2 linked regions of the Drosophila melanogaster genome follow. The protein of the gene in region 1 purifies or fractionates together with the protein of each later gene. This does not show direct contact. Each region holds a gene or a part of one and is shown on either strand. Other genes may lie near its edges.

Region 1 (15,598 bases):
CCGACGAGCTGGAAATAAGTGCCGCAGCTGGCCGCATCCGCATTTGTTTCCTTCTCGATCTCGCAACCCGACCTCCTGACCCACATACCTTGATTTATTTGTTGATGTTTTTTTGTTTGATTCGCGATACGAGATGCGCCTCTGGTCCAAGGTCTGTGCTAATTGATGTGCGATAGCCAACAATGCTTATCGACGAAGTGAGAGTGATGGAGTGAAATGTCAAGCTGATCCGCAACTGACTCATTCGCAATGACGTCAGAGTTGTGTTGTCGTCGCTTGGCAATGTCTTGTGTGTTAATCTATCGCCTTGCCCATCCGTGGAGATACAGCTGATGATCTCGTCATCGGGAACGGGCACTGAACTCTCTATTCAGTTCGCGCCCTTTGCTATTCGGTGGCTGACTCTAATATTCGCCTACGATTTGACATACCCACGTGACTTATGGCCGAAACGTGCTGCTTCAATTATTATGTTCACAAGTGGAGATTTGGGGATTTCGTTGGCCGTAACGCGGATTACTAACAGAATGTAGGGCCATATTGAATTTCCAAACGCAGACATGCTTTAATAAATATATTAGTTAAATGAGAAAGCCCATAACTCGCAGACAGGAAAAGTATTATAAAAGTATGATAGCGAAATTATAACGTTTTTCTTAGACTAAATAATCGAACAAGACTATAAGATATTTTACTTTAATATATCTTTCAATGCATTGAGATTTAGTACAAAAAAAAAAAACTCGGAAGATCTAGGTATTTATATATGCTGGGTGATAGTTAACGATGTTGTATGTACACATGTATGTATGTATGAATGGTACCCTGCTGTCGGCGGAGTTCTCGATCATCGACTACTTTCACTTGTTATCGTTTCAATTGGTTTGGTTCGGTTTTGTCTTGTTTCATTATGTTTTGTGTTGCTGAACGTGTTTGATCGATTTCTGTTTGCCCCACCCCATCCCGAAATCCAGTCAATGAGAATAGAAAATAATGTTACCAAAATGTTTTTCAGGCAAAAATACGACAGTGGTTGGAGGTAGGCACACACACAGACCCACCAGCCCATCAACACTCAAAACTACACCCACATCGAAACACATTTACACACGCACACACCTACAAAGCGCATCGCGCACAGATGCAAGATACAACCGAGCACACGCATCCAAAAGATTGAAAGATGAAGAGCTTGAGCAGCGCTGCCGTAACTCAACTCAATCTCTGTCTCTATCTATCTATCTCTCCTGCCTCTCTCTGTCTACATATGTCTATTCCACTCTGCCCGTGTTTATGCTCGCCCTCTGTCTCTCTCTCTCTCTCTCTCTCTCTCTTACGCACACGTTCTTTGTGTCTTAGCTTGTTTGGTTTGTGTGTTGACTAGTGAACGACTGAGAATTTTATAGATCTATTTATTCTGTTAGAACACTTTCTTCACATCCCATTTTGGTTAATCTTTGTTGCATGAGACAATACAATCACCGAAGCATGCATCGTCCCATTGCCTCAAATGAAGCTCTCTACACGAGCTGAACTCTCATCTCAAATAGATCAGTTTCGCTAAAGAAGGTTGAACAAAAAAAAAAGATCATGAGTTCAGATGAGAATTCTGCCTTTGTAAAGAGGTCCTTATATCCCTCTCTCGGTGTCGCTCTCTCTCGCTCTCGCATATGAGCTGGACTATTATCCTTAAATTTTTTGTGTTTGGATAGATAGATCGTGCATGATATTAGACCCGAAAGTTCATGAAGACAATTCTTCTAATGGCCGGAGTCATGGAAATTCTTTCATTAATGAACTCTATATATGTTATGAAAATATTTATTCCTGATAGATATGTAGCGTTGAGTTTTATTTCCCTATCATTCTCTAATAAATCAATTAGATATCCAATATCGATTACACAATTAATATTTATTAGACAAGTAGAGATTACGTGTTATTGAAACAAATCAAATTGAAAGAGTTTTCTGTGACAACTAAATTGGATATTTAGTTGGCCGGAATTTGTGTAATACCTTAGTTCGTAGATATTTAGTTAGTTTAAATAGCCCAAAAGTAAACTATTGCAATAAAGCTCTTGTGTATTTTGCAGAAATGTTCTGAAAAATCGGGAGCCCGTATATCAGGCAATCTGGGCCGATTCCACGGACTTCGATGAGGTGCTCATCTCGCCGGTGATGCTGCAGGATCACATGCCCGACAAGGTTCTCGCCGCCCTCAAGAAGGTAATTGCCGAGTTCGACGACGAGCGCGGCTTCTCGGTGCACAGCTATTCCACAGCCAGTTGATCAGATCCGGTCGAATGGACGGACGGACGGCAATGGAATCGATTTGAATATGGAATGACTGATCGTTGACACCCCTACACCCTCCCCCACGTCGTCTTCGTCGTTGTCCTAGAACCGTATATAGTTTAACTATAGCCCTATAGCATACATATCTAGAGTACGCAGCACCGATCTAGTTAGTTGATTCGTCTACTGTACTGTGCTGTTCTGTACTGTACTATACCGTGCCCTTAGTCTAGCCTTAAGGTCAGAGGTCACGAACGGTGAACCGCAATCCGCAGTTCGCCAAACTTATGACCACAAGCCACAAAGCAACCAAAACTCACAAACACAAGAGCCACGCGAACGCGATTACCACCCACACAGTCATGACAAGCATATTTACACCGATGATGCCTATTTATCTATATATGTAAACTCAATTATGTTAAACGTTATCTAGTCTAAGGCCAACTATCGCTTATAATTTCAATAATGCTAAATTGTTCGACATTGATTTGTTTATATTTATTTATTGCCCTTTTTGTTTTTGATATATAACAACAATTTGCTTTGATATGTTTGTCCAGAGAATGGAACCGATACTTAGCCAGCACTACACACGTATAACCAAAATCCAGTAACTCTATTGTATTTATCGCTGTGTTAGGCATTGACAATGGACTTTGAATGTTTACACATATGCCTAAGTTAAATTTATATTTATATACTTGTATTTTGTTTATGTGGCTTTGTCCATTTATTGTTTAAGTTGAACAGATGTAATTTGCATTTCGTTTTCAAAATCTCCGTGTTTAAATCACGCTCTCCAAATATCTCTTATATATTTTCACTTTAAAGCGTAAACTGTTTGTTTTTTATATGACGAATATACACACTTGTACTACGTACAAGTACATGAATATGATTAATTCTTTAATTTATTTCTTGCTTTTAAATACATTTGAAATCGGTAATGGTGAATATTTAAGTATTTGCACATCATGTTCTTGTAAGTTGCTTTGATTACTACACCAGAATGTCCAGTTAATCCCGGTCTTGTTGGATTGAAGATGTTTAAGAAATTGCTCCGCTAGATGGAAAACAGTATATTATTTGGTTTTTGAAAAGCCAATATATCCACACGATCGATTATGATTTTATTTAAGTTCTTTTTGCGAAGATTTGATTTGGTAAGTTTTTTAAGTTCAACTTTTATGCTTTGACTACAAATACACAACATAACCTATCATACTATATACCATACACAACTCCTTTAAAAATATCTGCTGCATGGGAATGGTTGTTGTAAAGCTTAAGGAATGGCAAAACAAATACATATAGTATGGTAGATGAAACGTATTGCCTATTTTGCGCTGAGCTGGGAGGAGACCCGATCCCGTATGTCTGCTAGTTGCAATGAGAGAGTAGTGGATCAGGCTATAGGATAATCCCTTGAGCGATTTTTCCACCCCGACCCCATCCTTGATGATCTGATTCAGATCACAGTTAGTATATGCGACGAACTTTTGTAAACCACTGATGTATTTAATTATGCTTTTGTTTTGCTTCTTTTATGGAACTTAACGATTATCGATAACTGATAAACGAATACCGATTTAACCGATTTGTATGTGACCCGATCATCCGATGATGTGCACAGGTCGTGTCTTGTAGAGATCGAACCGTAAAGGCATGTACCACTCGTAGACGTAATGATAACACGACAATAACTACAACTACAACAGTTACAACAACAACTACGACAACACAAAATACAGATACCAGGTACAGCCGCCCGCCTTCTATATAAATTTGTTATCATTAAACAAAAGACTAAACCAACTTTCCATTTTGCTCTCGTTAAAACCAAACAAAATTTTTAAATATGTCAACCGAATTACAAGTCTCTCTCTCTATCTCTCTCTATGTATATTTCTCTCTCCCGCTCTCAACCTAACCTCAAACAATAAAAAAAAAAACCAACAACCTATCCAATTTTGTAAACTAAACTCTCTAAATGTAATCGTACTCGCTGTGTATGTACAACGAAAACCAATATCGATATTGTGTCTCGCACCCGTAAGCTCCCACCCACCCTCAAACCACACCTCACCACAGCGAACTATCGAACCATTAGCAATTCTACCCACATCCTACTCGCTTAACTTTGACGTAACTGTACTTAGTCACTCCACTTCACTCGCTAACTGCATCTGCTACTGTCTCTTTCCACTCTCGCTCATCTGTGAAACTGTACATACATGCATCCCACTCTCGCTCGCAACATCTACTCGTCTCTTTCTGCATTTATATGTAACCACCAGTTGTGAAGATCAGGATTAATTGATTGCTTGATCTGTTTCGATTATAGATTAGAGAAAATAACTGCAGTCGAAAAAAAAGGGTATAAATGCCAACCAAGAAGAAAACAAAATATATATATATTACGAAATCAGACCTATCAATCAATCAATCGGTTTAACATTTCAGTAGGACCACAACATAGATCTAAGTTAAATGATCAAGTACAATCAAACACTGATCCCCACCACTCTCGCTACTCGCCTTTAGGTTGTAACAACGAGTGGGCCACGCAAGCCGCAGCGCCAGACCTCGAATGCATTCTCCACCGGATCGAACGAAGCAGCGCACGATATGGACCTTGAACCGCCGCATTGTAGCGGCCACAGTGCGCCGACGGATGCCATGAGATTCGAGACGCGAACCGATCCCGGCCAGATGCAGAACTCGATGTCGCAGTCGCAACACTGCAAGCGACTCTCGCAAAGTTCCTACACGAACCTGAGCAACTGCCTCGTCCTGACGCCGACCGCCCAGCACAAGCTTTGTTTGGAGACGTCATTCACCAACGGATCGACACCACACCAGTCCGGTGTACAGCCAAATCCGCGGCTCACGTCGGCGGCCTCGTCGCTCCTGAGCTCGGCAACCACGCCGTATGACATATCAAGTGCTCTGGACGACAGCCTGGCCACAGTGGCGCTGCGGCAAAGCCCCTCGCTGATTAGCGCTGAGACGACGGCTACAGTGATTGTTAATCCGGAACCGGATGCTGAGGAGATTGCCATACCACAACGGCTCAAGGCGGTGGCCTTCGATATGGCGCTCACTCCGCCGCCAACGCTGCCGGAGAGGTCCATGCTCGGTCGTCAACACTCCGAGAAAAAGCCACGTTCTCTGCCGCTGGCCCAAGTCCAGGCCCTTCGTAGAGCTTCGGATGCTGGTGCGGTACCTGGAGTGGATTTACTGCACGACGACTGGTATGGCCTGGCCCCACTGGCCAGTCCCGAAACGCTGTCCGAGATCTCGAGCGTCTCCTCGCGAACCAGCGTACCCATTAGCCTGGCCAACAGCATTGAGCGCTATCTGCAGCACATGGGCGTGGGCGTTGGCGGTCCGAAGGTGCCACTCGAGGACATCTTCGAGTCGCAGCTGCATACGCCCAAGGTTATGAGGCGGGCGCCCAAGTTCAGCGAGAATCTTGCTGGCTGTGCAGAGGACACCAGAAATCTGGATCAGTACAAACGGCTGGGTCGTGTGTTCATCACCTTTCCGCGCATCTTTCCGGATCAATCGCCAGCGGCGCATAGTCTGGACTCCAGCGACGATAGCTTTGAGTCTGCGTCGGCCCACAGCCTACAGAGATTGCAGCTGCCGCACGGTGCCAATGCGGTGCAGAGTTCCAAGTCCGCCGATCCGCTGGACGGGGATCCCGATGCGACGAGGCAAACGCAGCCCGCCAAGAAGTTGACATTCAGCGATAGCGATATCCTGACGGACGCGGACTGCCTGCGACTGTGTCCACACTGTCCCTGCGATCGGGATGTCCAGCGTGGCTGCTGTACTCGCTCGGAGCACGGGAAGTGCGGCACAGAGATTTCCGGGGGTTGTGGTGGTGCCGCCATGGGATTGGGCTCCACAGATACTAGTTTCTACAGTGCCAGCTCATCGCTGGAACAGTTTGCCACACCGGCTCGGCAGAACGGTGGCACTGGGGCGTCTGGCAACCACCTGGAGGAGATACTCATACGGCCCGGCGTGTTGGAATCGCATTTTCCCGTTCTTGGCGGTGGCAGCGCGATAGAGACACCGGCTTTGGTGGCCCCAGCCTCACCATCGCCGCTCAGCAATGGCAAACGACCGGATGTGGTTGGTGGCCGGGTGAGGAAACGGCTCTCGTCCGAGGAGTTCGTCTTCTCCCGGAGCGAGGATCTGCCTAGCCTAGTACAAATCGGTGATAGGTGTACCGGCTCTCCGGCGGGACGACGTCGGGCCAAGGGCTGCGTCTATCCGGCCGGGAATAGTCTCCGTTTGGACGCTGCTGCCGCTGTCGCCTCCGCTTCCGCATCGCCCACGTCCATTAGTAAATTTACCCGCACGCGCGTGGCCGCCGGAGGATTGGCAGCCAAACAGGCTGCCGGCAATAACGAAAGTAACGTTTAATAGTTGTAAGTTGCAAGCAGTACCTTCACCTGGACACACAGATGCGATTTCAGCCCAAAGTCGACAATTATGCCGTTGCCATTGCTTTCACACAAGCGATACATACACAAAACCAGTTGATTACAAATTAAAGGAACTCACAAGGAATCTAACATTTTGCATACCGATTACCTAAGGAACAACATTTAGCATTAACACACAAGCGTTTACTATTAACTAAATGCAATATGTATATTTATATACAGATATATAAATATATATTTTTTTGTGCAGCCAAGCCCCAAGCGACGAGAAATTTTAATAAAACGTTTTAAAAAATGAATACTCTGTAATGTCGTTGATTAGGAAAATGGCACAAAAAACTTCAAACTTTAAAGTGTAACGGTTTTTTGCTTAGTTGGAATATGGTATTTTGAAAGTGGTTGAGTTCACCGCACTGTTAACCGCTAACAGCTCACTGTGGCGCACAACAGTACACTATCGGCTGTTAACGGCTCTGTTTTGGTTTTTTGTCCAATTCCAAAGTTCGTTGCGTTCGCATTTGTTTACATCATTGCTCGATTCGGTGTTCTATAGCCAAAAACGATGTCCCTGATTGCCCAGGCGAGTCGCACAGTGCCGCAGCTACTGTTGCACTTGAACCGCCATCTGGTCACCTCCTGCTCAAGCGCCGCATCCGCCACGTCCTCGAAACCGCCGGATGTCGACCAGTCGATCACTGCCGACCAGCTCCTCGGACCGGAATCGCAGCGCAGGTGCATGGAGAAGATGCGCAGCCTGCCGGCATTCCCGCGTCCCAAGGCGCTCACGCCCAGTCGCCGGGAAAAGCAGACATCCGCGGTTCTTATCGCCCTCTGCCAGGAGCGCGGCACGTCAGTATAGCCAGTTAAACTAGGAATGCGACCATTTGAATAAGCTGCATCGCTTTGCTCTTTCAGGAATGAAATATCCCTACTATACACCCGACGATCGCGACACCTGCGCAGCCACAGCTTTCAGATCTCCTTTCCGGGCGGAAGGCGCGATGATCACGACTCGAGCTACGTGGACTGTGCGCTGCGCGAAACAGAGGAGGAGATCGGCCTACCGCGCCATCGCATCCAGGTGTGGGGCGAGGCCAAGCAGCTACAGCTGCCGAGGACCTCGTCGATTGTGCCAGTGGTGGGCGTGGTGCCGGACTTTAGCCTCTCCGAGCTGCGTCTCAACTGGGAGGAGGTGGAGGAGGCGTTTAGTGTGCCGCTCACTTCGCTAATGCTGCCCAAGGCCACCAGGCACACACAGTTTCGTAGCGGCTACAGCGGTCCAGTATTTGTTGTAGACCATTATCGCATCTGGGGCATCACCGGCTATCTGACGCACCTCTTCCTGCACTGCCTGCTGCCACCCAATTTGCTGCCCGATTGCCTCAAGACGAACATCAAGTTCATTCGGCCCTTTAAGCTACCGCCCAAGCTGCCGCATCATCGCGAGCACTCCGCCGGGGATCCCTCGATGCGCACCTGACGAGACATCCGCGATCCGCCGACCGTAATCCTACTCAGGCTAGCAACAATCTGGTACTGTGATTGGGCCAAATGTGCTTCGCTCGAACCGAACAATTGGCCAATTCTGATGGTGTTCTTTGTTTTAGTGTACGCGTTAATTGTTAATTCTCGGAGAGATTTATAATAAAACTGTTGACCATTATGTTGAAATCGAAGAGGAGCTCTTTATTCGAGCTAAGACGATGCCATTTAATGATTTATATCTTTGATAAGGCTTATCATGAAATGAACATGTTAAGTAAAAGGCAATAATTGTCTTTTTGTGTTTTTTTTTTATTTGTAATTTTCACTTAAATACAAAAAATACTCTTCATTTCCTCCTCTAATTTTCTTTTTTTTTTTTTTTGTTTTGTTTTTCTTGTTATGATAAAATAAAATATTTAAATAAAAATTAAAAGCGAACAAAATGGAAAACTTTCGCCAGGGAGCAAAAAAAAATTCAAAATCATAATTTTGCAATAGAAAAAAAAGATTTGTCTTCGAATACAACAAAAAAGCTCCTTGCAGAATAAAAAATTATAAATTAAAATAAACATTTTAAAGGAACGGGAAGCGCTCCTTCAGGCGATCGATACATTTTAATTGACAGCGAGCTACGTAATTATATTCATGCGTTTGCCTGTGGACATCTGTATGTCAAACACAAATGTTTTAATATTAATTAAGCAAACAAACATGCAGGCGGGCCAAGTAAGTCAAAGCCTTCTCGATAGATTGTGGCTGGTGTTTCTTTTTTTTTTTTTCCAAATGGGGTTTAAATTAAGCATAGCTGAAGAAAGGCAACGCGGCTGCTTAAAGAACACTTGTTGTTATGCTTGTTATATATAGTAGGTTTATATATATATTTATATATAATATATGCATGGGTAGTTATATCCGTTAAGTATACATCTATGTATAGTCCTCAGAGTTGCTGCTGTTGTAAAATTGTCCAAAATATTGTGGTTGCGATTGCTGTATACTATTAGTTGATGTGTGGTGTGGCTGCATGGATCTGCTCCATAGGAAACCTACTCCGAAATATCAATTGGAATGTATGTGGTAAACGTGGGCGTCTCCAGCTCCTCGTGCTTCTTCATTTTGAGACTCTGCAAGCGGCAAATGGAGATTCTAGAGATTGGAGCCCAGTAAAATTGGCACAATGGCAAGTTACGCACCTGTTGCAGCTTGTAGTGATTGATAATGTCCTGGTCGGCCGGGCACGATTGTGTGAAGGCGTCCAGCTGGTACATGTGATACATGTAGCGCCACAGGGCCGTCAAGTGCGTCTGCAAGGAGTCGGATAGTGAGAACGTTGAGTCATTGATACCTGGTCGGGTTGGCTTATTCATTCGATTCTGTAGCTGATGGCTATAATTGGACTTCGAGCGGCAATAACGAAAATGATTTAAAGCCCATTCACAATCAAAGTTATACAATGTATTAGCCTTAGATTGCTATTAAATCTATATTGCAATACAACTTATCACATTCATTCTTGCGCTATTAATCATTTAGGCAAAAAGTCACAAAGCCACTAAGTCAATATTTGCCCACTGCTTTCTATTCGCAAATAAAGTCTTTATCAGCAAAAGTTTTCCTGACTAATCCATTGGCAAATACGATAATGCAGTTACTCCTGCTGTGGCTGTGATACCCTGGAACACCCCCACTGCTTACCGGGATTTCAAAGTCGACAAAGTACTTGCCCGCCACACGGATGTGCTGCAGGCGCGGCATCAGCTCACAGTCGAAGCAGCACATGGTGTCGCCGGTGAGGAAGCGCGTGTTGCGCGCGGACAGATGATCGTTGATCTTGCGCAGATGCGAGAGCAGGGCGTTGTTCTTGGCCTCGTCCTTCTTTACCAGCATCAGCTTCAACTTGACATACAGGTTCTCGATCAGGGTGGCCACCTCCTTGTCCTGGACAAACAGATTGTAGCCGCCCGGTATGTTCTTCATGATGTGCCGCTCGATCTTTTCGTTCTCCAAAATGGCCAGCCCATTGTCAATGAGGATGGGCGGGTGTGTGGCCTCAAAATTGGTACGGAAATCGGGCGGCGGCTTCTGCATATCCACCGTCGTCACCTTCAGGCTGATCGTCTTCAGTTCGGCCAGTAGATATAGGTCCATGAAGTACTCCTGGCAGAACAAACAGGCGCCCTTCCGCCTGCCGTCGATGGTCGAGGCCTGCAAATCGAAGCGGAAAATGTTAACCAATTTAGTGTCTCGGGGATTCGGGGAAAGCAAGCGTTTTTTTTTAATCAAAAAGTGAGAGGGGTGCGAAAATGTTTACTTGGCCATTTCGATAAGTTGGCTTTGCGGCGATACCATCAAGTGTTAATGTGGGTCACATTCCGGGGACTGGGCATTTTTCCAGCGATTGGACATTGCCTCCAGTCCACTTAATGGACACATAATGGCACATCGCGTGCCGGCAATTACTGATAAACGCAAATCAAACAGAAATTTAACAAAATAAGACAACATAGTTTTCCATTATGATCATGTGACATCATCATCATCATCATCATCATCATAATCATCATAACCATAAACGTTCTGCGTTGTTCAACAGCCCAGCGTGGCGTGATGAGCCATCGAGGTTTGTTTGCTCGCCATTTTTTTTTTTTTTTTTTTTTTTGGGGGACCGGAAGCGATCCAAAGGCAAGACAAGCGACGTCGAGTGGACGACGACGATACTAGCCAAGCCCGACGAGAATTCTGCATCGCTGCACTGCCAAGGCCAGTGGAGGATAGGCAGATACATTTGTAGCTACACAGATGGGAAGATAAATAGTGAGACGGCAAGGCAATGCCAGCGCCACAGGCTACAGTGAGCACTGACTAAGTTGAGTCAAGTCTCTGCATTTGCATTCCAGCAATATCAGCCGCCGATATCACAAGTATTTACAGATTAAGCATATTTAGCACACCCTGACTATTTACGTGATTATTTAAAGCTGCCAGTGGTTTTAAACAAAACAAAAGGCGGAAATACTTTAATCTTTTTATGCGATTGTGGATATGATGAAGAAGTTTAGTAAATTTAAATGGAATTTATATGAGCATGATTTGTACATATATTAATTTGAATTTCGCACTGCAACCTGGCGGTTCTACTTAGCCAATATCCACTGTAGATCGATGGCATTGCTGCAGCTGAGAAGCAGCTAAAGCCTAACAACACATCACACAAATGATGACGATGATGTCATCAGGCGTGCGGTGTGTGAAGTTTACTTGTTGATTGCCGTTGCCAGCCTTTTTTGTATTTGCTGCCCATATTTAACCCCCTCCCCCCCCCCCCCGCAAAACCATTTCTGCTGGCGTCGACAGCCGGCTTAACTTCAAATAAGCTCCAACGCCAGGCGGCAATCAATGTGCGTTTATATGGCACTGTGCATATTTGTATTCGTTAGATAAGCCAGCCTGCACTGCTGTTTTCACACATTTTGCCACTACAGCACAGAAACTGAAGAGAGTTAGCAAATCTACTGGCTGCTCAAGAACGAGGTTGTCGTGGAGCTGGGGCATTCTCCAAACTCCACAGCGAATCCATGAATTTAGCTAAATTGTTTGTGACTACACGGATACGTATGTATCTATAAGTATATGGTTATATCTATTTTTATACAACCACATCGTTATGGGGTTATGAGTTAAATATGGTTACGGTTCAACACTTGCCAAATACACATTTGAAATAAGTGATAAATATGATAACGAGGCGTACGCAATAATTAACCACAGTTAACTTCGGTTTGTAAATTCAATTTAACGCACCAATTGCAGGCAATTAAAATATTATTTCGAATGCGAAGTTAATTAGCATTGCCCTGTGTGTTAATGGCTTAATAACGAAACCCAGCCAAACCAAACCAAAAAAAAACCCAACCCATTTTCCAGCCCACATGGTCGCAGCATAATCAAACTATGAAAGGCAACAACAACAACAAAAAATAAACTACAATGATTGTGGGAGCGGTATTCGTATAATTTTGTATCTTTTTTCATTCCGCCGCGGTGCTTAAACGGTTCATTTGTATTCTTTCGCACATTATTAACTGTGCACGTTCGTTTACCTGGTCTACGCACATCCATCCATAGCCCATAGCTCCAAGCTCCATAAATTCCCAACTGACCCGGATTACTTTCAGTCCGTCGCACATATTCGTTCCGCTCGTATTTGTATCATATTTTCTTGGCCCGCATTTTGTTGACTCGATTTTTTAAGGCCGCACTAATTGTTGGCAATACATTCTACAGCTAAGCGCAATCGGTTTTCGTTGGCGAATACAAGTACGAAATTTTTACATAAAACTATTGCTTTTGCCATTAATTGCTAATAATATCGCATTACAATATTTTTGCCATCTCTAGCGAGCATTGTAGTTTGCAATATGAGTTGCACAAATTGAAAATGGGAATTGCAAAATGCAAGACTAAGACGTGTGGCAACGTCGAAAGGTCAGTCGAAGTCAGTCAGTCAGGCAATCATCTTGAGCTACAGACACATATACAGATACAAAGTATATGGCAAAACTATGGATACAGATACATTTACAGATAGAGATACAGACACATAGACGGCGGTTGCAATTGACTTTTTCAAAATAGAAATGACGAGAGCAGGCAGACCAAAAAGCAGTTAGCAAATGTCAAGTGCCATTCACGTACATATGCTTCAAATATATGTACATATATATACTTTATATGGCCACATCTGGCTAATAAAAACTGCCGGCTAAATAAATACCTAGCCAATATAAACGTTCGTCTTTGAATACGTTTTCGTTTTAGAAAAATAAGTTGTGGTTTTTGCTTTTTTTTTGACTAGCCACAGAGGCGGTGAAAATCATAGATTTTTCATTTATTTAACTTTTAAAGTTGATTAATCTACCCATCTTATCGACCATGATTTTTGCATACTAACTAACTATTCGTGTGTTGGTAAAAATGCTTAAACAATTTTATGGTATTTCAAAGTTCGTAATTTTAAGCCCTATTATTTTGTACGCAATCGTACATGGATATATTTATATGTACGCACACTCAACAACTTCGATTTGTTTTCCTTTTAATTGTAAATTCGTGGCGCGATAAGATAGGAGGGCGGAAAAGTTAAGTTAAGTCAAATAAAATGAAATTCGTAAGCTTTTTGCGCCAGCGAACAGAAATCGTAAATGTAAACGAAAATGAAATTGTTGGAAATAGTGAATGCCACAGTCATGTTTTATTTTATTTATATTTTTGTTCTTTTTGTTTCTATGGGTTGGGGATGGGTTGTTTTTATTTTGGGAACCAGTTCGCTGACAGCTGCAGCGCAATAATTTAATTTTAATCATGATCATGATGTTGGGGGCAGATGTCAACCTTGAGAAGAGCGTCGATTCGATTCTTGAATGCCGGAGTTCTTTCTATTGGGCCACATAAAAACACAGATACATATATGTATGTATGTATGTATGTGCCATATCTTATCAAAAGTTGGGCGGCGGAAGTTATCGCCGCAGTTTGTTGGTGATGATGATGGGGCCTGATGAAGTAATAGCCAAAATAATAGAAATATAATCAGGCCAAGTGGTCGCATGGCAGGTGAAGTCAGCCGGCATATCTTGGGCCACAAATTTTTAATGGGCTAATGGGTTTTCCAATGCCTATTCGCATTTCCCCCCCAAAAACCTATGCCAAGGTGTATTCAAGAATTACGTTTAAATCTTATAAAAGCATAAGCTATGGATTATTAAGAAGCATATTGCACTTAATTCAGGTAAATCAAAAGAATAGAAAAAACGTTGGGCAAGTAAAAGTCATAAAAAATATACGATGTGAGTTACGAAAGGAAGTTATAAACATTAAGATAGGGAACAACAACAAAAAATACCACTGATTGTCAATTAGAACGAATGCACTTCAGTTTTGGAGTAAAGCTGGGGAAAATTGTGGGGGCGGGAAATTGTGGGCGGAGGATGTCAAGCCTTTGCGTGTTTTTCTTGGCTAAAAAGCCAGTCACACAGCAATGCACACACACACACACACGGAGAGAGAACGTGGGGGCGTGAATAAAACAAGAAATCAACAACTCAACTGTCACTTTTGCACAAAAACACAAACCATAGAAGAGGCAAGGAAGACACGTACAGTGGTACTTAGATTGGATGTACTTCCTTACTATAATCCATATATATATATTGTTCGAACTTATCAGCACTAATTTCAGGCATGTCTATTACTCTAAAAATAACCTATATAAAGCAGTAATAAACAATAAATTAGACAAAGCATTATGAAATTCCTATTAGTGCTTCAAAGTATTTCATTGTATTTAAGTTTTTAAGCCAGCTTTATATTGCATGCCCACTTATTTAATTGCAGTGTGTAAAAAGCGCCTTACTAAGTGCAGCTTTTCATCTTGACTCTTTGCTGCCGTTGAAGTGACAACAAAGAAGCGCATTTTCCTCAACTTAGCACAACTGAAGCCGCAACAATCGCTTGGCGTTCAGTTGCAACAAAAGGCGCTAATTTAGCTCAAGTTTGCATGAGATTCATCCTTGGGTGGAAAGGTTGCCCCATAGAAGGCCATTGTGTGTGGCAAAGAAACGAGTACTAAGTATTTGCAATAACACCAAAAATCTTATTTTATAATGCTCACTGTGCTCAAGCATTTGATGGATGTGTCAAAATTAGGTAGCTAATTTTCTTCGAGTGCATTGGCGATCGCCTTTTGTTTTGATCGGCGCTTTGTTTTGATTCGATTCGATGGCTTGGCCAATTTCTGGAAATCTCGCGTGGGCGATGACTCCGAGGGTAAGGCATTGGCTTTGGCTTTGGCTTTGGGTTTTTGCTTGTTTTCCAAGCCGAAACCGAAACTGAAACCAACACCAAAACCAAAAACCAAAAACCGAACTTGGAGCCGCAGCCAAAGCCAAAGCCAAGCCAAGTCAAGGAGGCGGAAAAGCGCGCACGAGAAAAACCTGTTTAGCGTTCAATGATTGTTTTGTTTTGCAGCAAACGAAGAAACAAGAAAACACATTTGTATTTGTTTGTTGCCTGCACGCGCGGAACAGAGAGGCATGCCACGATCCCCAGCTTACATACATATATAGCTGGATCCACTGCCACACTCGCTCTTCTTGAACCCCACAAACTGAACAATACCAACAACACAGCTTTCCTCGGCGGCGGCAAATTGAACTTTCACTTTTTCGCTGGGAAATTGCTATGGAAATGGAAACGTTGGGCCTTACATGGAGTGCGTTGTTATGTCAAAGATGCTTCTGTCACTCTTCTGCTGCAGTTTAACTATTGCTTTTAACTGGCCAAAAATTCAGGCAA
Region 2 (16,822 bases), on another chromosome or scaffold:
GTGGGACACACCTGACACCGGTTTTTGGCTGCCGGAGGAGTGGTAGTGCCCGGGGGGGTGGGCAGAGAATGCGGCACGCTTTACTCTGGCCACAGTCTAAGCAAATAATAGACAAGAATTTGACATCGGCACGAGAGGGTTCCATTGTGCGGCTCATTTGATTTTTGGTTGTGTTTGGGTATTTGTTTGGGCTAGTTTCGGCGAAACAGAGGAAGTGTGCTAGAGGGCCATAATGGAAACATATCTCACATGTGTGTTTCGGAATTGTTCCTATGACGAGGCAAATTCTGGCCATATTTTTTGACCATTAACGCCGCCTGGCCCGACATAAATAATTTTCTAAGAGTGGGGTTCGGGAACCGTATGTCAAAACTTAAATAATAAATCTCTTGTTTATTTCTTGGATAAACCAAAAATATTCATTTATTGCAAATTTAATTTTTTTTCTTGCAGGAAAACCTCCGCGTTGGCTTGGAACGCAAAAAGCTCGAAATAGACCCAAAGTATTTGCTTCTTCTGGGCTTCACCTCGTCAAATGAAGCTACAGGCCAACAGCAGCAGCTGGATCAGCAAAATGTGGTGGACATCGGTTCACCAGGTCAGCAACTGCCAAAGACAGATTTTTCAGCGCCGGCTACAAAAGCGGAACTGGAGCTCAGCGAACTGCGAGGTCTGCGGCGTCCACAGGATGCTGTTACCTTCGGTAGTCAGGCAGGAGATCAAAAGGGGCAGCGGAAGCGGATCACGACGCCGTACAACGGTACAAAGAGCAACTTCACAATCGTCAGCTATGTGCTGGAGGGGCAGGCCGCATCGGCCATCCTGCTGGCCCAGAATATTGCCGCCAAGCTTCCCAGCGAGTACCTGCTAATCTACGATTTGGGCGTTTCCGAGGAGCAACTACGGGATTTGGGCGCCTACTGTAATAACAGCCGATGCTCGGTGATCACCTATGATCTGTCGGAGTTTCCCTCCTTCGTCGCCGATCAGCGGACGCACGCCTACCGGCCCATTGTAATTAAGGACGGTCTTATGCGTGCCCGATCGGTTCTCTTCTTGGAAAACAGCATGCGCGTGCGCGGAGGTTCCGCCCAGCTGCGAAGTCTGCAGAGCATCGTTATGAATCCAGGAGTGGGAAAATCTGCAGTCAAGTCCGCTGGAGTGCTCGGATGGAACACAGCGACGGCGGTATCCTCTCTGACGCATCCAAAAATGTTCGACTACTTTGAGTCGAAAGCTGAGGAGTTTAACTTTCTTCGGATGGTCGACCTGGATGCTGTCTTCTTCTCGGACAGCTCCTTGGTGGCCGAGAAGATCATGCTTCCCTGGCTGAAGTGCTGCCTCACCCTCGAGTGCATCGATCCGATCGGTGAGTCGGGTGGGATGGGTGGTGGTGGTGGTGGTGGCGTCATAGGGATATGTAAAACTGTCATTAGAAATGTTCCTCAGTCACTGCCTGACGCCAATATAAATCAATCAAACGTACGTTCAAACCTCCAACCCCCAAGCTCTCCTTCGGGGCTAGGCTCGTGTACTAATAACTGTCATTTGCACGGCATTCCGTTGATGGCACTCACATCGGGGAAATTTATGTAATTACCACCTGAATTGGGATTGATGGCAAAAGTGACATTGCCTTTCTTAACGAACAATTCATTTTTATTCGACCGGCATTTCCCAAACTAAGTAGTCAACAATACTCACTTTTTGGCTGGTTATTACATATAATGCTTACCAAGCATAGGTGAATTTTTAATAGAAATAAGCTTTCATTTCCTTGAATTCATCTGAAATGAACTCTGTGTTCACTTCCTGGCACTCCTGGCGAATTAAACACAGAGCTCATTTTTAATTGATGAATCCAAAGAAAGAAAATGCTTCTTTTCCAATTTCATTCATTTTCTCGCGCATGTTATATGCAGTCAAATGCTCATTTCTGTATCTTCATTGATTGACTAGATTCAGATACTTTATAGTCGACAAATTTTCGGTTAAGGATCAAAGGTATTTGGAAATATTCCATTCGTTCGTTGCTCGGCTTCAAAAAGTGTTTGATAACAGCGTGATATCATTTTTGTCACATCGAGTGCCTTGTAAGCCTTTAATAATTCTCGTGTGTAGTTTTCAAATCGAAGGGGGGATGTAAGGTTCTCAAGGGTTTCGGAAATGATTTTGGGGTAACGAGAATACAAATTTACATCTTTGTGACTTCTGTGTTTCGCTTCGCAATCGCTTTGATTGGGCTTAGTTATGGAGATTAATTCCCTTTTTTCTGAAACAGGTGCTTTTAACTTTCTTTTCTTGAGATTTTCCATATAGTATTGTCGTTGATTCAAAAAATTTCTTTTCATTGTCATTTCCATTAGCAAAGGTGATACTTTTTCAGTCCTATACTTTTGCAACGAACAGCAAATTTCACACTCGCATTCAGTCTGTGTACCTGCGTCAGTTTTGGGAACGAAAAGTCGTTTAGATCGTTTCTTTCTTCGACGATTGGGTGGTTGGGGTTTCTCTTCGGCCAAGGGAACATACTTTCCTTGATAGTCATCGTAAGTCAAAAAGTCCATGGGTGAATCTCTGTCGTCTAAAATAAACAGTTCTGCATTCGCCCTGGACTGATTTATTCTTTTGATCGACGCAAATGTTCTATTTAATTTTTCAGAAATCTCATAGCCCAACGGCGAAACAGATTCCTCAAAGTACTCAAAATTGTCGCTATTTCCGTGTTTTAAGGTCTCTAATCGATTTAGTTGCTCCAAAAGTTCTAACTTTGAGCCAACTTTTTTGTCACTCAGCCTGTCAACGTTAAGAAAGATGTTAGTAGCAGTTTGTCTAGTGAAATTCCTCAGATTCGTGTCCATGGTACGGAAGGCTTTGCGGTTAGAAATAATTTCTGCCTCCCTTGGTGTGTGTGATTTGGAATCATGGATAGTATCTTGATTTGAAACTCCCTTCTTGAGATTCTTGAAGCCATAGTCGTGGATTTTAAGTCCTTTGCCTAGCTTAAAATCAAATCCTTTGTTCCCAGATGATTTGGTCATCTTAAATTCGTTGGTTCTGATTCTCTTTGCTGGTGTCTTCGATGATTCAGCAGGATATGTTGAATCGTGTTGCGCTTCTCTAGCTGGAACCGTGTACTTTGAAAGATCTCCAAAAGAGGTTTCGAAATTAAGGGCGCTTCCGGAAAACTTCTTTAAAATCGTTCGGTTCATTTTCTCCATCATCCTTTTGGGAGTCTTTATGCCTTTAAACTCGTCCAGCTCCTGCATAACTGAAACAACTTCTTTCAGTTTATTTTCCACTTCATTTTTCTTTCGTTTTTGATGTTGTAATGATAATTTGGAGAGTTTAGATTTGTTAACGATGCTCCTCCTATACGTTTTCTTAGGCTTGAGATTAAGTTGACTTCCTTTCTTAAATTCTGTGCTTTTGATTCTATTTGCTATTGTCTTCGATGGTTCAGCGGGGTATTTTGTATTGCGTTGTATTTCTCTTGTTGAAACTTTGTACTTTGATAGATTTTCATTCTTAAATTCGGTGCTTTTGATTCTCTTTACTAGTGTCTTCAATGGTTCAGTAGGGTATGTTGTATCGCGTTGTATTTCTCTTGTTGAAACTTTGTACTTTGAGAGATTTTCATGCGCGGCTGGGAAGTGAAGGGCGCTTCGGGATAAGCTCTTTATAGTTCGATGCATTTTCTCCGTCATCTTTTTGGGAGTCTTTATACCCTTAAACTCGCCCAGCTCCTGCATAACTGAAACAACTTCTTTCAGTTTATTATCTACTTTATTTTCCCTCCGTTTTTGATCTTTTAAGGGAAATTTGAAGAGTTTAGATTTGTTAACGATGCTCCTTTTACACGTTTTTTTTGGCTGGAGATTATTAAGCAGACTTCTTTTCTTCAGTTTTTTGGTTCGCTTTTGGGTAAAGACAAACCTGCTAATTAGTCCATGAAGAAGGCCCACGACAGGTGCTCTTGAGCTTAAATGCGTTGCTGTAGGTACAGGACGACTCATTGGGGGTTTAATCTTGTATTTTTCGATTTTAATTGGGTCAATTAATTGTTTTCCGCTCGCTCTAGGGACAATTTCTTTTGATTTTGAATTTTTCAACTCACGCTCCTTAGGAGTATACATCTGTGTCAGTTGGCTTATGTGAATCTTGAAGCTCTTCCACTTCGGAGTATTCGAATCTCGTAAATTCCTGCCCTTTTTAGGAGAAACCAAAGGTGTGGCAAGATGTTTCAATTTTGCATTCACAAGTTTTGGGGGTACTTTATAGTATTCTGACCCAGCGTTTATCCTGGCCCTGCTAAAATATTTGCGAGCATGCCTCAACAACATTTTCTGCTTGGCTCCAAGCGTTGGACTAAGCGTTGATTTTGATAGGCTTTGAAAAAGTACTGGCATGTTTTGAGATAGAATGGCTTTATTGAAGAATTTTGACAGCTAGTACTTAACCGAAAAAATAAATAATTTTCAAGCCAACTAAGTTGCCATCAGCATACCTCGGTCCTAAAGCATTCACGGAACATGCGAACGGCCTCGACAATTTTGCTGAAGAAAAGCATCTTCATCAGTCGCCACATTCCCTTTGGCAGATCGCAGTGTATGTTGCATGCTGCATAGACGAACTCCTCTGGTCCAATGTTGTAGCCATGTCGGCCGCACAGCATGTAGTGTGTATCGTAGATTATGTACCACGCCTCCACGGTGCAGGCCATTGCGGAGAAGACCTCCATCATCCGGTTCAGTCGGTAGGCCAGGAGGAGGAACAGCCCAAAGATGAGGCTGATTATGGAAATTCCGCGAATCTGGGTAAACCGAAAACGCTTCTGGGAGGAATACAGCATTAGACCCAAGATTTCAATAATGAGAATGACTGGATAAATATATACCTGCAATACAAAACATAAGTAATCAACAGTATATATATTAACAGTAGTATATACATGCAATCAAGAAGTCATATCACTTTAATACAGATAGCAAAGTTATTCTATCTCCGTACATGACTCAAGTTTATTCACTTAAACCAAATGTGTTGTGATGTCCTAATGGAGTAACTCTGACTTACCCAATGTGTCTCCACCAAATTAAGTAGATATACGCTCCTATTGAAGGATCCAATCAATGTGCTCAGCAGCAGTACAAAGTAGTTGAAAGGCCCATGTCTCCTCCAATCTCTCCAAACGTAGAAACACGTATACAGAAAAACAGTGAATACCATTGATAATGGCATAACAAAGTTGTATGGCAAAGGATATTTGAGAAACAACTCAATGCAGGGCAAGGTGCAGGCCATCTGTAGCTGCAATGTTGAGTTTACCACATTACTTTTTTAATTGAAAATGGAAGCTGTATAACCTACGATTAATATGCCGTAGAATCGGCGCACTAGGCGCCGTCGGATTCCAACATCGGCTATGTCGAATTCATAGGTCCTTTGCAAATGACCGTTGGGCAAAAGGAGGTCACATTGCACAGCGATGCCCGGGACTTCCGATTTTTCCACTACCAATACCGCGTCCATTTCATCATCATACTGAGCTGACACTACCGCCGCCTAATGTCCATTTATATTATTCTATTTGATAAGGCCAGTTTTCCAGTTAATCGTTTATCTAATTTACTCCATTTTCATTTCTGTTTCCATAAACACCCCATACAATCACAAAGAAAAAATGTTAAAATAATTCGATTATATACACATATTGATTAGCCATTATTAACAGTAATCTTTTTTTATGAATTGTGCGCTCTGTAGAAAAAGGGCTCAAATAAATGCTCATGGAAATGGTTGCTTTAAATTGATATACTATATAACTCATATATTTAAGAATTTCGGAAGCTATGAAGGAATTTGCTACTAGCTTATCTCCGCCTCCCTTGAATTTTTTCAACAGTGTTAAGGGTACCCAAAAGTCGGTGCACTCGACCTTACATTTCCCTGTTGATTAAATATAGAAAACTTGATGTGTAGCATAGGAAAAATCGGGGGCTAGATTCGCTTCCAATCTTATATATTTTGTGTATCCTAGCGGAGCAAAGTAAAACGTATAATAATATTTTCTTTATATTACTAGGTGCCCAATCGAATGGCTGCAAGTTCAACAAGAAGCCGATGTTCCGATACTCTGGCTGCCACGGCTACGATGCGTCCGCCTTCAACATCGTGCTGGGCCTAACTTTCCAAATGGACACCTCTGAATACTCGCTGCCCGGCGACAGTCCGCGTAACATATTCTACAAGGAAAGCCTGGAGCAGGCGACCCGTATACTGGAGAGCAGGCGGCGCAACAGCAGCGAAACCTCCGACCATCCTTTCACGGACGACTGAGCTGGGAAACCTAAAAATCGAACTGGACGAGAGCGTGGCCAAAGCATTTGATATAACTTTTTCTACCGACAACCACACAAGCGGATACACTCAGGCGGTGACGGAGCCAACTGAGATTACTAGGAATATCGAAGGAAATGAGAGTTATTGATGTGAATTAGATAAAGGGTAACCGATTCCCACTTGAACAGATATAGACAGATGACTTGGCGTCCAAGAAAAGATCAGAAATGAACAGACACAGCACAGTAATTAAGCGTAGCGTAATTATGTGCAGCTTATCAATACTTATTACAATTTAGTGCAGCCCTAATTACTTATTTAATGAAATATACATACATGAAAATCTGTGTTAATGTCCCCGTGTTTTTGCTGCGAGAGTCGATATGTGTAAAAGCCCCTGTTTAGTTAACTATCCCAAATGTAAATACATAAAAACATCAAATGGCATACATTTTGTGATTGTATTTTATAGTTACTCACGCGTAGACAAACATATACAGTATATAAATATAAATATAAATGTAATTTAACTATCCTAGAACAAGACGAGCCAAAAAGTAAGTTAATAAAATTCTGAATTACGAATACCAAGTAACATTCTTTTTCTGGCTTCGCCAATTCTAAATATCAGGGAAATCTTTGGTTTGTTAACGGCACTTTTTGACATTTTTTTGTAAAGCTGATTGTGGTTATATCTGCAAAAGCTTGAGAAGAAGAACAGCATACATTGTTTTCAAGAGCTGTGACTAGGATTAGCTCTACTAATAAAATTTTTCCAAAATTCGAAGGATGTAAATGAATATGCGAACCACATCGACGTACAGAGTGAGAGCCGCGAATACATATTCCTCGGGATCCAACTGTTCCGAACGATTGCCGCCCACTATCGACTGCATATCGGCGATTAAAAAAAAACAGCCAATAAAGGTGCATAGGCAAGTTATTGGCAGGCTGTCTACGAAATCGGGCATCCAAACACCACACACTGATAGAACTATGAGTATTATCACAAAGGTCAATATGACCCCTCCAGCAGCTGTGTAATCGTATTTGGTTTGCACGGCGTAGATGGAAAGTGCGATGACTAGAAGTGTGGTAATGGCCACGGCCGAGATTACCACATTGGAATCCATTTGGCTGGATGCGGTCCCCAGGAGCAGCGACATGGTGAAGGTATAAAGAGCGAGGCAAATCAGGTTAACAGGATGCCTTCGTCGCACGTTCTCCACACAAACGATTGTGCTCAAAACGATAATGTTAACGATCATGGCGACAAGAACTAGAAGGAAGTTCTCATGCATGAAGTCCTTGGTGGGTTGGTGGTAAGAAAATATTGCTATCACAGCCAACGTGAACAGTAATTGGGCCTGCAAGAATCACATACATATAAAATGTTCCACTGAATCGGTCTATCTCACCAAAAGGATTCCAAAAACCTTGCGGACGAATCCCATGCGTATAGTGGGATCCTCGAATACATTACTTTTAACAATCAAATCATGGGAAATCATCCCATTTTCGACCAAGTGTTCGCCATCTTTTGGATCGGAATTCGTGTCCTGGGACTCGTTTTCCGTAGGAGGGGCTGACAAAGAAATCGGTGGGTAACGGTCAGAGTTTTCAGGTAATGGGACAAAATTAAACCACGCTGCAAAAAATTCATTTCAATAAAAATAAAAAAGGTTAAACTTTAATATTAGGAATCGTGACAAGTTAATAAGTTAAGCCTTATAATAACATTTCTGCAGTGTGTTGATGGAATGATGTTTTAAATACAATAAAGGAGACCAAACTAAAGGAAATGGGTCTTACAAAATCGACTTAATTAAATCAAATTTTGAATTGCTTGGAATGTCATAAAATATCTAGCAACAAAAAAATGCAACCTTGCAAAAGAGTTATATATGTAATACAATTTTAAGGAGTGTGAGCTAGGTTTAACATATAGCCAAAGAGTATGCTACATTCAAGGACCTAGACCATCTTTTATACGTCACTGCAACTCGAATTTCCAATATGACAGCAGCAAAGCAAGTATATAAGTGGCTCCACCTAGCGACTAGTTCTTTCTATTATAACTTCTTAGTGAATGGTCCGAATAGACAAATTGTTGGAGAAAAATTTAATTTATATCTTAGGTCAATAGAAAGTTAAAGATTAAAATTTTTTTTTATAATATATAATACAATCTGAATCAATGGACATGCTGATTGTTTTGCTTGCTATTCATACGTAAATCTTCTTTAGTGAACAACAAACATTCGTTTATTATTTAAGCAAGCAACTAATCAAGCATAAAGCTCTTAAAACAATTTAAAAAGTTTACATATATATTTTTAATCCAATAAATAATACATTGAATGTAGATGAATTTCTCCAATGAGTCCCAACTGGGATATCATGTTTACATACATACATATATGAGTTATCGTTCAACTCAGACCGCTTATGTTCTAACACATACAGACGCCGAAATAAATGGTTTACAAGTCTAGATATATATTTAATCCTCGTATAAACTTTTTGATTTTTTGTATATCTAAGAAAAGGTTTCTGTATAAGCTCTTCTACACAAAAAAAACACATTATTTTCATTAATTCTATTTTTAACTTCAAGATCTTACCGTACAGTGAAGCCTTATCGAGGAATCCTGTTTCTTTTTTAGGTGAATCCATGTCTGCCGCGTCTGGTCTTTTTCCAAGGGCGACTGGCAATCTTAAGAGCCCAATTAGGGAACTAATAAGAAAAATAAGTAGTGTATGTATCCGTATTTCGAACTGAAGAAAAGCCGGAGGAATGGAAACTGAGATGCCGGTTTTATTTCGGGGCAGCGGTGCCAGAGTTTTCGCGATTGCCGCGAAATAGCGGCTGATTTTCGCATGTGGTGACTTAAGCAACTGCTTTCATGCCTACATATGTATGTAGGTCCAATATGTGTTCATATATCCACCATCGTTTGGTCAATATCACTTCAGTTCACAAAAGCCACCGGCACACGAAGTCGGACTTAAACGGGTTCCGTCAGCTAAAAGTAAAAGTTAATTGCCCGCGTGTGAGTGCAATTGTGCGATAATGAGCGTAACTGCGCTATTGCTCAAGGCTTTGTTTGTGCTCGGGCTGACCGTACTTTCGGGACCAGGAAGAGTGGCTGCCTACGATCCCAATGATCCTAAGATAGCCGAGTGCTGCCTGCCACCGGAGGGGATGTTCGAGGCCTTTTATCCCCGTGAGGTGGAGGGAATCCCCAATAGCGCATCGCGACCCGCACACGGACATGGCAGCTTCTTCAAGCACCGGAACCCAGCGCTAGTGGACACCAAGAACGCGGCGGCCTATGGCTATAGGTTCGACGGCAAGAGGCGTTTCAACTTCGATTAGTTCCGCTTTTAAAATCTGTATTATTCGCAAATAAAGCCCCTTTTTGAAAACGAAAATATAACGATCTATTTTCTCAACGGTAAATCGAACTGCAGTGAGCTGGCAACCCTGCCAGGCATGCAGCCCTAATATTCCGTGTGATTGACACTTATGTCTAGAGCACAAGAAGAAGAAATCAACATTTTTTTCTTCGAAATTCATTCGTTTAAAAGCGTAAAAAAATGTGTTTCTGAATCAAATTCAAATATAATTCACATAATTCTGTAAATACCGTTATAATACCCAAATCACCAACACATGATGAACGGGCGCAGCATCGGCATGCTGAAAAAGCTCAGGCACACCTGGCGCACGTAAGAATCTCGCGGAGTGGTGAAAAGTGGGCTGTTGTGGAGCCGGCGAATCTAATAAGTGCCCTATCTCCAAACACAATGCAGGTTTCCACGCCTTATGGCCACCAAGGTGACCAGTCTGGGTGGCGACGAGGTGGGCAGTGGCACAGGAATCGGACAGATCACCGGCGGCGTGCGTACAAGTGATGGGCCACAGAAAGTGAACACGCCTTCCAAGGAGATTGTCACCCACCTGCCACCTCTCACCGAGCCACTGCCCAACCTGCCGGAGGCCGTTTACGCAGCTCCACTGGCGGAAAGCGCCATTACGAAGGTAACGACGCTGCCGAACGGTCTGCGGATTGCCTCGGAACCGCGGTACGGACAGTTCTGCACTGTGGGCCTGGTTATCGACTCCGGGCCGCGCTACGAAGTCGCTTACCCCAGCGGCGTGTCGCACTTTCTCGAAAAGCTAGCTTTTAATGTGAGCCAAGTTGCGCTTATGTAATGTAGGATCTCGGCTAATCCGTCTACTCATTCCAAAGTCCACAGTCAACTTTCCCAACAAGGACGCCATACTTAAGGAGCTGGAGAAGAACGGAGGCATTTGCGACTGTCAGAGCTCGCGGGACACGCTCATTTATGCCGCCAGCATCGACAGCCGGGCTATTGATTCCGTGACGCGTCTGCTGGCGGACGTCACTTTGCGGCCCACACTTAGCGACCAGGAGGTGAGTCTGGCCAGGCGGGCCGTCAACTTTGAGCTGGAGACACTGGGCATGCGGCCTGAGCAGGAGCCAATACTGATGGACATGATCCACGCGGCAGCATTCAGGGACAATACCTTGGGCCTGCCCAAGCTATGTCCCCTTGAGAACCTGGACCACATAAACCGCAATGTGCTAATGAACTACCTTAAGTACCATCACTCTCCCAAGCGCATGGTCATCGCTGGTGTAGGCGTAAGTGTAAAAAATCTCTTTTGTACTCGGATTTCAGTTAAAGAATATCTTTTCAGGTGGATCATGATGAGCTGGTTAGCCATGTGCAAAGATACTTTGTGGAGGACAAAGCCATCTGGGAAACGGAAGCCCTGGAGGACTCGGGACCTAAGCAAGTAGATACGTCTATTGCACAATACACTGGCGGATTAGTAAAGGTGGGTGCAATAATACTTTGATTAACTTCTTAATAAACATGAACTGCCCATAGGAACAATGCGAAATCCCAATCTATGCGGCCGCTGGGCTACCAGAGCTGGCCCATGTAATTCTCGGATTTGAAGGCTGTTCCCACCAGGACAAGGACTTCGTTCCCCTGTGCGTCCTGAATATCATGATGGGCGGTGGTGGATCCTTCTCCGCAGGCGGTCCTGGCAAGGGCATGTACTCGCGCCTGTATACCAAGGTGCTAAACCGCTACCACTGGATGTACAGCGCCACGGCCTACAATCATGCTTACGGCGATTGTGGTCTCTTCTGTGTTCACGGTAGCGCACCGCCACAGCACATGAACGACATGGTCGAGGTCCTGACCCGCGAGATGATGGGCATGGCCGCAGAGCCAGGCCGTGAAGAGCTAATGCGCTCGAAGATCCAGCTTCAGTCCATGTTACTAATGAACCTGGAGTCGAGACCCGTTGTGTTCGAGGACGTGGGCCGCCAAGTGCTGGTGACGGGGCAGCGAAAACGACCGCAGCATTTTATCAAGGAAATTGGTAAAAGCATCTTAATTAATCAATTAATGCTATCATTTAACTCGTTAATTCATATTACAGAAAGTGTAACTGCCGCCGATATCCAACGCGTTGCTCAACGTCTCCTGAGCTCGCCGCCTTCTGTGGCCGCCCGCGGCGACATCCACAATCTTCCCGAGATGAGCCACATCACCAACGCGGTCAGTGGTTCAGGACGTACCGGGCTGGGACGTAGGCTTTCCTTGTTCAAATAGCGCTGGGTGTGAGACCGCCTCCATTGGATATCATTTCGCTTTGTTTACAATATTGTGCGAAGGGCAACCGTGTTAAGTTTAAATTGGCTAAAAACCAAAATTCCCAAAATTCGACTCGGTTATTTTATTTGTTGCTTTAATGGTATTTTTAATTAGGCGACAATTAGAGACAGGCAAATTTTTGTCCTCTAACATCTTACTTAGAAAGTAAGATGTCCTGATAGCAAAGGGGAGAATTGCATCTACTAAATGAGCGATTCATTAAGATAACCCATTACATTTTTACACCGCTCCCACGATTGTCTTACTCAATTTGGGCCTCCTATAGCTATAGCATACGCAAAGCTGTTCATCCCAGCGAAGATTTTGAAGACACCGAGGAACATTTCTTTAATCGGCGCTTGCACTTCGGAGAAGAGGTTGAGCCATCGCTATCACTGCTGCTGCTGCTGCTACTACTGCCACTTCTGTTACTTCTTAAGGGCACTAGAAACGAAAAGGATACCTATAGATACCTATTAATCACAGCACACCGTATCTATTAACTTACTTGTTGGACTCTTGGGAGCAGTGCTTTCGAAGTCTTCGTCTTCCGGCAACTCATCGCTGGAAATGTTCTCGTGCATGCGATATTGCTTAGGAAGATGGCTCTCATCCTGAAGCGGTGTCGCATATTTGGGCCGCTTGATTTTTTCTTCTTGATGCTGGCGATCACTGTCGTTGTCCAATTCGTTGCCCGTTTGTTTCTTTATGCTCTTGGCGATCACGCGCTTTTGGTGATCCAGTTGGGGAAACAGGTCCCTTGAATTCTCCAGCGCCTGCTTAGCGGCGTTCATCTCCGCCTGCTGAATGGAGGAGCCACTTGAAGTGGCCAGCCGCTTTGAGCGGAAATAAACGGCCACCTTGTATACCCGCGTATTAGTTGGACCACTGGCCTCCACCACCTTGTAGTAGGGAATGTCCGGCTCGCCGCCATCCATTGTGCGAAGTGTGAGGCAGCACTGCTGCAGCTTCGACTTGGGATCGTTCCAGTCCTGATTCATGATAAACAACTGAAGTCGCGGGAACAAACATACATGGCAAAACTGTTCACAATACAGGAGACCCTTGTCCACGTACAGGGCGCCGAGGAATGCCTCCAGCAGATCGGCACGATCTTTGGTCTTCAAATCAGCCTTGGGATTGGCATACACGGCATATTTCGGCATTCCCAAATCATCGCAAACCACCGCTTGAGTGCGATTATTGACCAATGAGGATCGTAGCAGGGACAAGTGGCCCTCGTGGTGCTCAGGGAAGTGACGATATAGGTACTCCGAGCAAATCAGCTGCAGCACTGTGTCGCCCAAGAACTCTAAACGCTGATTTGACCCAAGGGTCAAGTGGGTGAAACCAATGGAGCGATCGGTAAAAGCGCGAGCCAAAAGCCGAATGTGCTTAAACTTGATTCCAATAGAGTCCTCGAATTTGGTTAACTCCTTAAGCACACGGTAGGAATCAATACAGCTGCGATCCCCAAGTGGCTCCTGTTCCTGCAACGGGTGCTCCGGCAGATTCTTCCATATACTCAGCAGTTTCTCGTCCTGCCGGAAGAGTGCATCCGTGAACACCTCATCTGCCACCTTGATTCCACCATCCAATAGAAGCGCGCCCATTAGGGCTTCAAAACAGTTGGCCATGGCGTGACGCAGTTCCAACTCGTGGCACAGATCGGATCCGTGTGCGTACAGCATAAACTCTTCCAGTTGCAGCTTTTTGGCCAACAGAGCCAAGTGCTGGTTTTGGACAATTGCCGCTCGGTAAGTGGCCAAACCACCCTCCTCCAGTTCAGGGAACATAAAAAACAGATGGATTGAGCTGAGGAATTCTACTACAGCATCACCGAGGAACTCTAGTCTCTCATTGTGGGTTATGTTCGAAACAGTCTCATGCTCCTTGCCAAATCTGGACATAATGCTCACTAATGTGTTGATACCCCGCTTGCGTGTGTTCATGTAATGGATCTTGCGATCTCCGTACTCCGGCTGACGAATTCCGCAGTTAGTCAGCGAATTACGGGCGTGATCCGGATTGGTACCGTAGTTCTCCTTGTATGAGGGATGCGTCAGCGCCAATTGGAGAAGGTACCGATTTTTAAAGCGGTACCCGATACTCTCCTCTAGCAGGTCCAGCGACTTGTGAAAGCGAAGGTGACCAGTTAGGACAGGAATCAACATGGCATGCTGCACAACGTCGCACATAATGCCGGTGCGATAGAAGCCCTCCGAGCTGATCGCCACTGTGATATTTCGTTTCATGCGCCCCTGAGTTCGCATCTCCTGAAGACGTTGCTCCTTCTCCTCTAGCTTGCGCTTATCCTTGAAAGAGGGCTTCGACATGTTGGCCATCAGATGACGGTACTTAACGTACTCTCGCCACGCCTTCTGGTACTCTGGATTTCCAGCGTAGCTTAGCTGAGGATGACAAATGCCAAAGTGCACGATTGCTGGATGTGAGATTCCAGTCTCGCGATCTACGCACTCGGGCAAATCGGAGTTATTCCTGTCCAATTGGTCAACGCGTAGCGAACACGGCTTATAACCCGGCTTGGTGACCAGCATTCCCTTTATGAAGTCCACGTAGTTTTGCCACTCGCTCTGACTAATCTGGTTAAGATGCAGTAGTTGCTGCCGTTCCACAAGCTGTGCAGAATTATCCAGCAAGTAGCGGAGTACCTCGACCATGGCCAAAACCTCCTTTCCATTATCTGGCAGGTCGCGGACGAAACGCGGAAAGAAGTGAAAAGCTGGGCAGGATTCCTCGACGTTTCCGGACGGTAAGTTGGGCATTAGATTAAAGTCTACCAGCTCTAGCAGTTCATGAAACAGGTATTTGACTGAAATTGAGATAAGATGTAAGTAATGCCTATAAAGAAAAATCTCAATTTTACTTACAAAAAATGTCTAGCTCGTGGATGGTGAAGTTCTCTGGCATCTTCTCCTCTTCGTACTCAATGGTGTACTCGATGTTGAAGCGGATCACCTTGCAGACGGGCAGATCGGAGAGACGCACATGCGAGAGAAGTGAGAAGCCCTCGAATAGAAACTCGTGCTCATCATGCTTGATAATGGTGGGTGTCTTTGTCAGGAAGTTAGTGGGCGGTGAGATGCTGATCCTGTAGTGGAACAGCTTGCCTGCATTGTTGCTGTTTGGATCGCACAACTTATAGCCAGTCTCGCCCGGATATATGCCGTGTCGAATGCCAATGCGCCGGGACTTGGCTGAGCAGCGGCAAAGAGGTCCGTCGTTCATCTCACCGGCGTCGTTGTGCCAGAGATCCGCGTGCACACGCTGCGGATGTTGCACCTTGCGCGAAAGCTCCTCCATGCAGCAGTCTTGCTCGATCTTAAAAGCGTCTTCGTCGGAGTCGTCATCGGATGAGGAGGACGAGGAGCAGGCTTCCGACTTGTGTTTATGCTTGCAAACACGGCGGCGAGCCTTTCTTGGAGGCGGCACGTAAACGGGTAGCTTCTCGCGTACACGCTTTGCTCTCTGCAGGAGCTCCTCATCGAATAGAGTGCACAGCTTTTGCAGACGCGCCCGACCTCTGACTTCGTTTTCGCTCTTGGTGCGCTCGTAGTAGAGCTCCGCTGGCGATGATCGCACCCAGGATTCGACTGGCGCATCCGCCTCGCTGAGGGCGTTCATCTTCTTCACATAGTCCTCTGGTTTTTCGCAGAAGTTAGAACACCACTGTCTCAACAGACGGTCCCTTTCGGTCTCCACCTTCGGTTTGGCCCTAGTCTTCTCTAAGGTCTCATTTCTCTCCCTTTCGTGATGGCCACGTGGCGAATAGTCATCGCTGACTTGGTTTCTGGCTGCAGATCCATAGTATCCGTGTTGCGACCCCTTTGCCTGCCTGTGGGCATAGTGTCCGTGTCGTGGCTCGTGGGCATATCGACTGTCCTGAATTTGACGGTGTTCCTGATCATGTCTTTGTTCATACCGCCTACCCGAGCTATAGCCGGGATAATGGTGGTAGCCTTGACTGGAGCTGTTGGAAGTGTACCTCTGCCTTTCGGATGGAGGTCGGTAGTTGGACGAATAAGCAGGATAGCGGTCTGGGTATTTATAGCTTTCATAGAGGAATGATGATCCGGATGCCGGGTACTGGTATTGGTAATGGGACTCCTGGCCACCATACTTCTGTGCTTGTTCGTTGTAAGCATATCCCTCGTAGCCGTACGCTGGTGGTTGCTGGTACGGATCATAGCTAGGTACTGAGCTGGCATAAGGAGCCGGTGTCTCCGGGTAGACGTAATCCAAAGACTTCGAGCTCTGAGAATGGGATTCATTTGAAGAATAGTTGTGAGAGGGAACACCTACTCCCGGTGGAGATAGATCTTCTTCTGGCGGAGGTGGCGGGGGCGGAGGAGCAGGCTGGACTGGAGGCGGTGGCAAAGGCGGCTGGTACATGGCGAAAAGTTTTGGGAAAATCTTTGGCAAAATCCACAATTATACTTTTTTCCACCCACACCTTTTACCGCGATTCGAATGATCTGGCAACTCGACCGGTTTGTTTACATTCGCACATCCGGCAAGGCCGTGCCACATATGTTTCGATAGACAACGTAAGAAAATTATGTTACTTCCGCGGTATTTTTGCTGGAACCTCCAACGCTGCACGATGGCGTTTTACGCTGTAGCCAGTGGGCGGCGGTCTGGAGTCTACGGCTCTTGGGCAGAGTGCGAGGAGCAGGTCAAGGGTTTCAAGAACGCCAAATACAAGAAGTTTAAGACACGCCAGGAAGCGGATCAGTTCGTTAATGGCTGCAAGTCG

Evidence for each region.
Region 2: the proteins of CG11095 (region 1) and CG8728 purify together in Drosophila melanogaster (affinity purification with mass spectrometry, with the first as the bait; one large-scale study listed by BioGRID). This does not show direct contact.

What each region holds. Positions count from the first base shown.
Region 1 is NC_004354.4:13,804,437-13,820,034, forward strand, and holds CG11095 (uncharacterized protein), read left to right. Parts: upstream 1-7,247; 5' UTR 7,248-7,322; coding exon 7,323-7,609; intron 7,610-7,675; coding exon 7,676-8,240; 3' UTR 8,241-8,434; downstream 8,435-15,598. Other genes in the region: inaE (inactivation no afterpotential E), read left to right, coding at 1,016-1,039, 2,096-2,228, 4,845-6,737; Clic (chloride intracellular channel), read right to left, coding at 9,292-9,369, 9,439-9,549, 9,941-10,450.
Region 2 is NT_033778.4:7,932,152-7,948,973, reverse strand, and holds CG8728 (uncharacterized protein), read left to right. Parts: upstream 1-9,859; 5' UTR 9,860-10,018; coding exon 10,019-10,074; intron 10,075-10,158; coding exon 10,159-10,537; intron 10,538-10,598; coding exon 10,599-11,015; intron 11,016-11,071; coding exon 11,072-11,212; intron 11,213-11,265; coding exon 11,266-11,770; intron 11,771-11,830; coding exon 11,831-12,003; 3' UTR 12,004-12,108; downstream 12,109-16,822. Other genes in the region: CG34431 (uncharacterized protein), read right to left, coding at 1,992-4,136; CG34430 (uncharacterized protein), read right to left, coding at 4,499-4,897, 5,077-5,310, 5,371-5,532; CG14764 (uncharacterized protein), read left to right, coding at 454-1,369, 6,086-6,339; CG30379 (uncharacterized protein), read right to left, coding at 7,104-7,709, 7,761-7,990, 8,967-9,018; CG30380 (uncharacterized protein), read left to right, coding at 9,416-9,721; drosha, read right to left, coding at 12,353-12,489, 12,554-14,878, 14,937-16,458; rnh1 (ribonuclease H1), read left to right, coding at 16,625-16,822.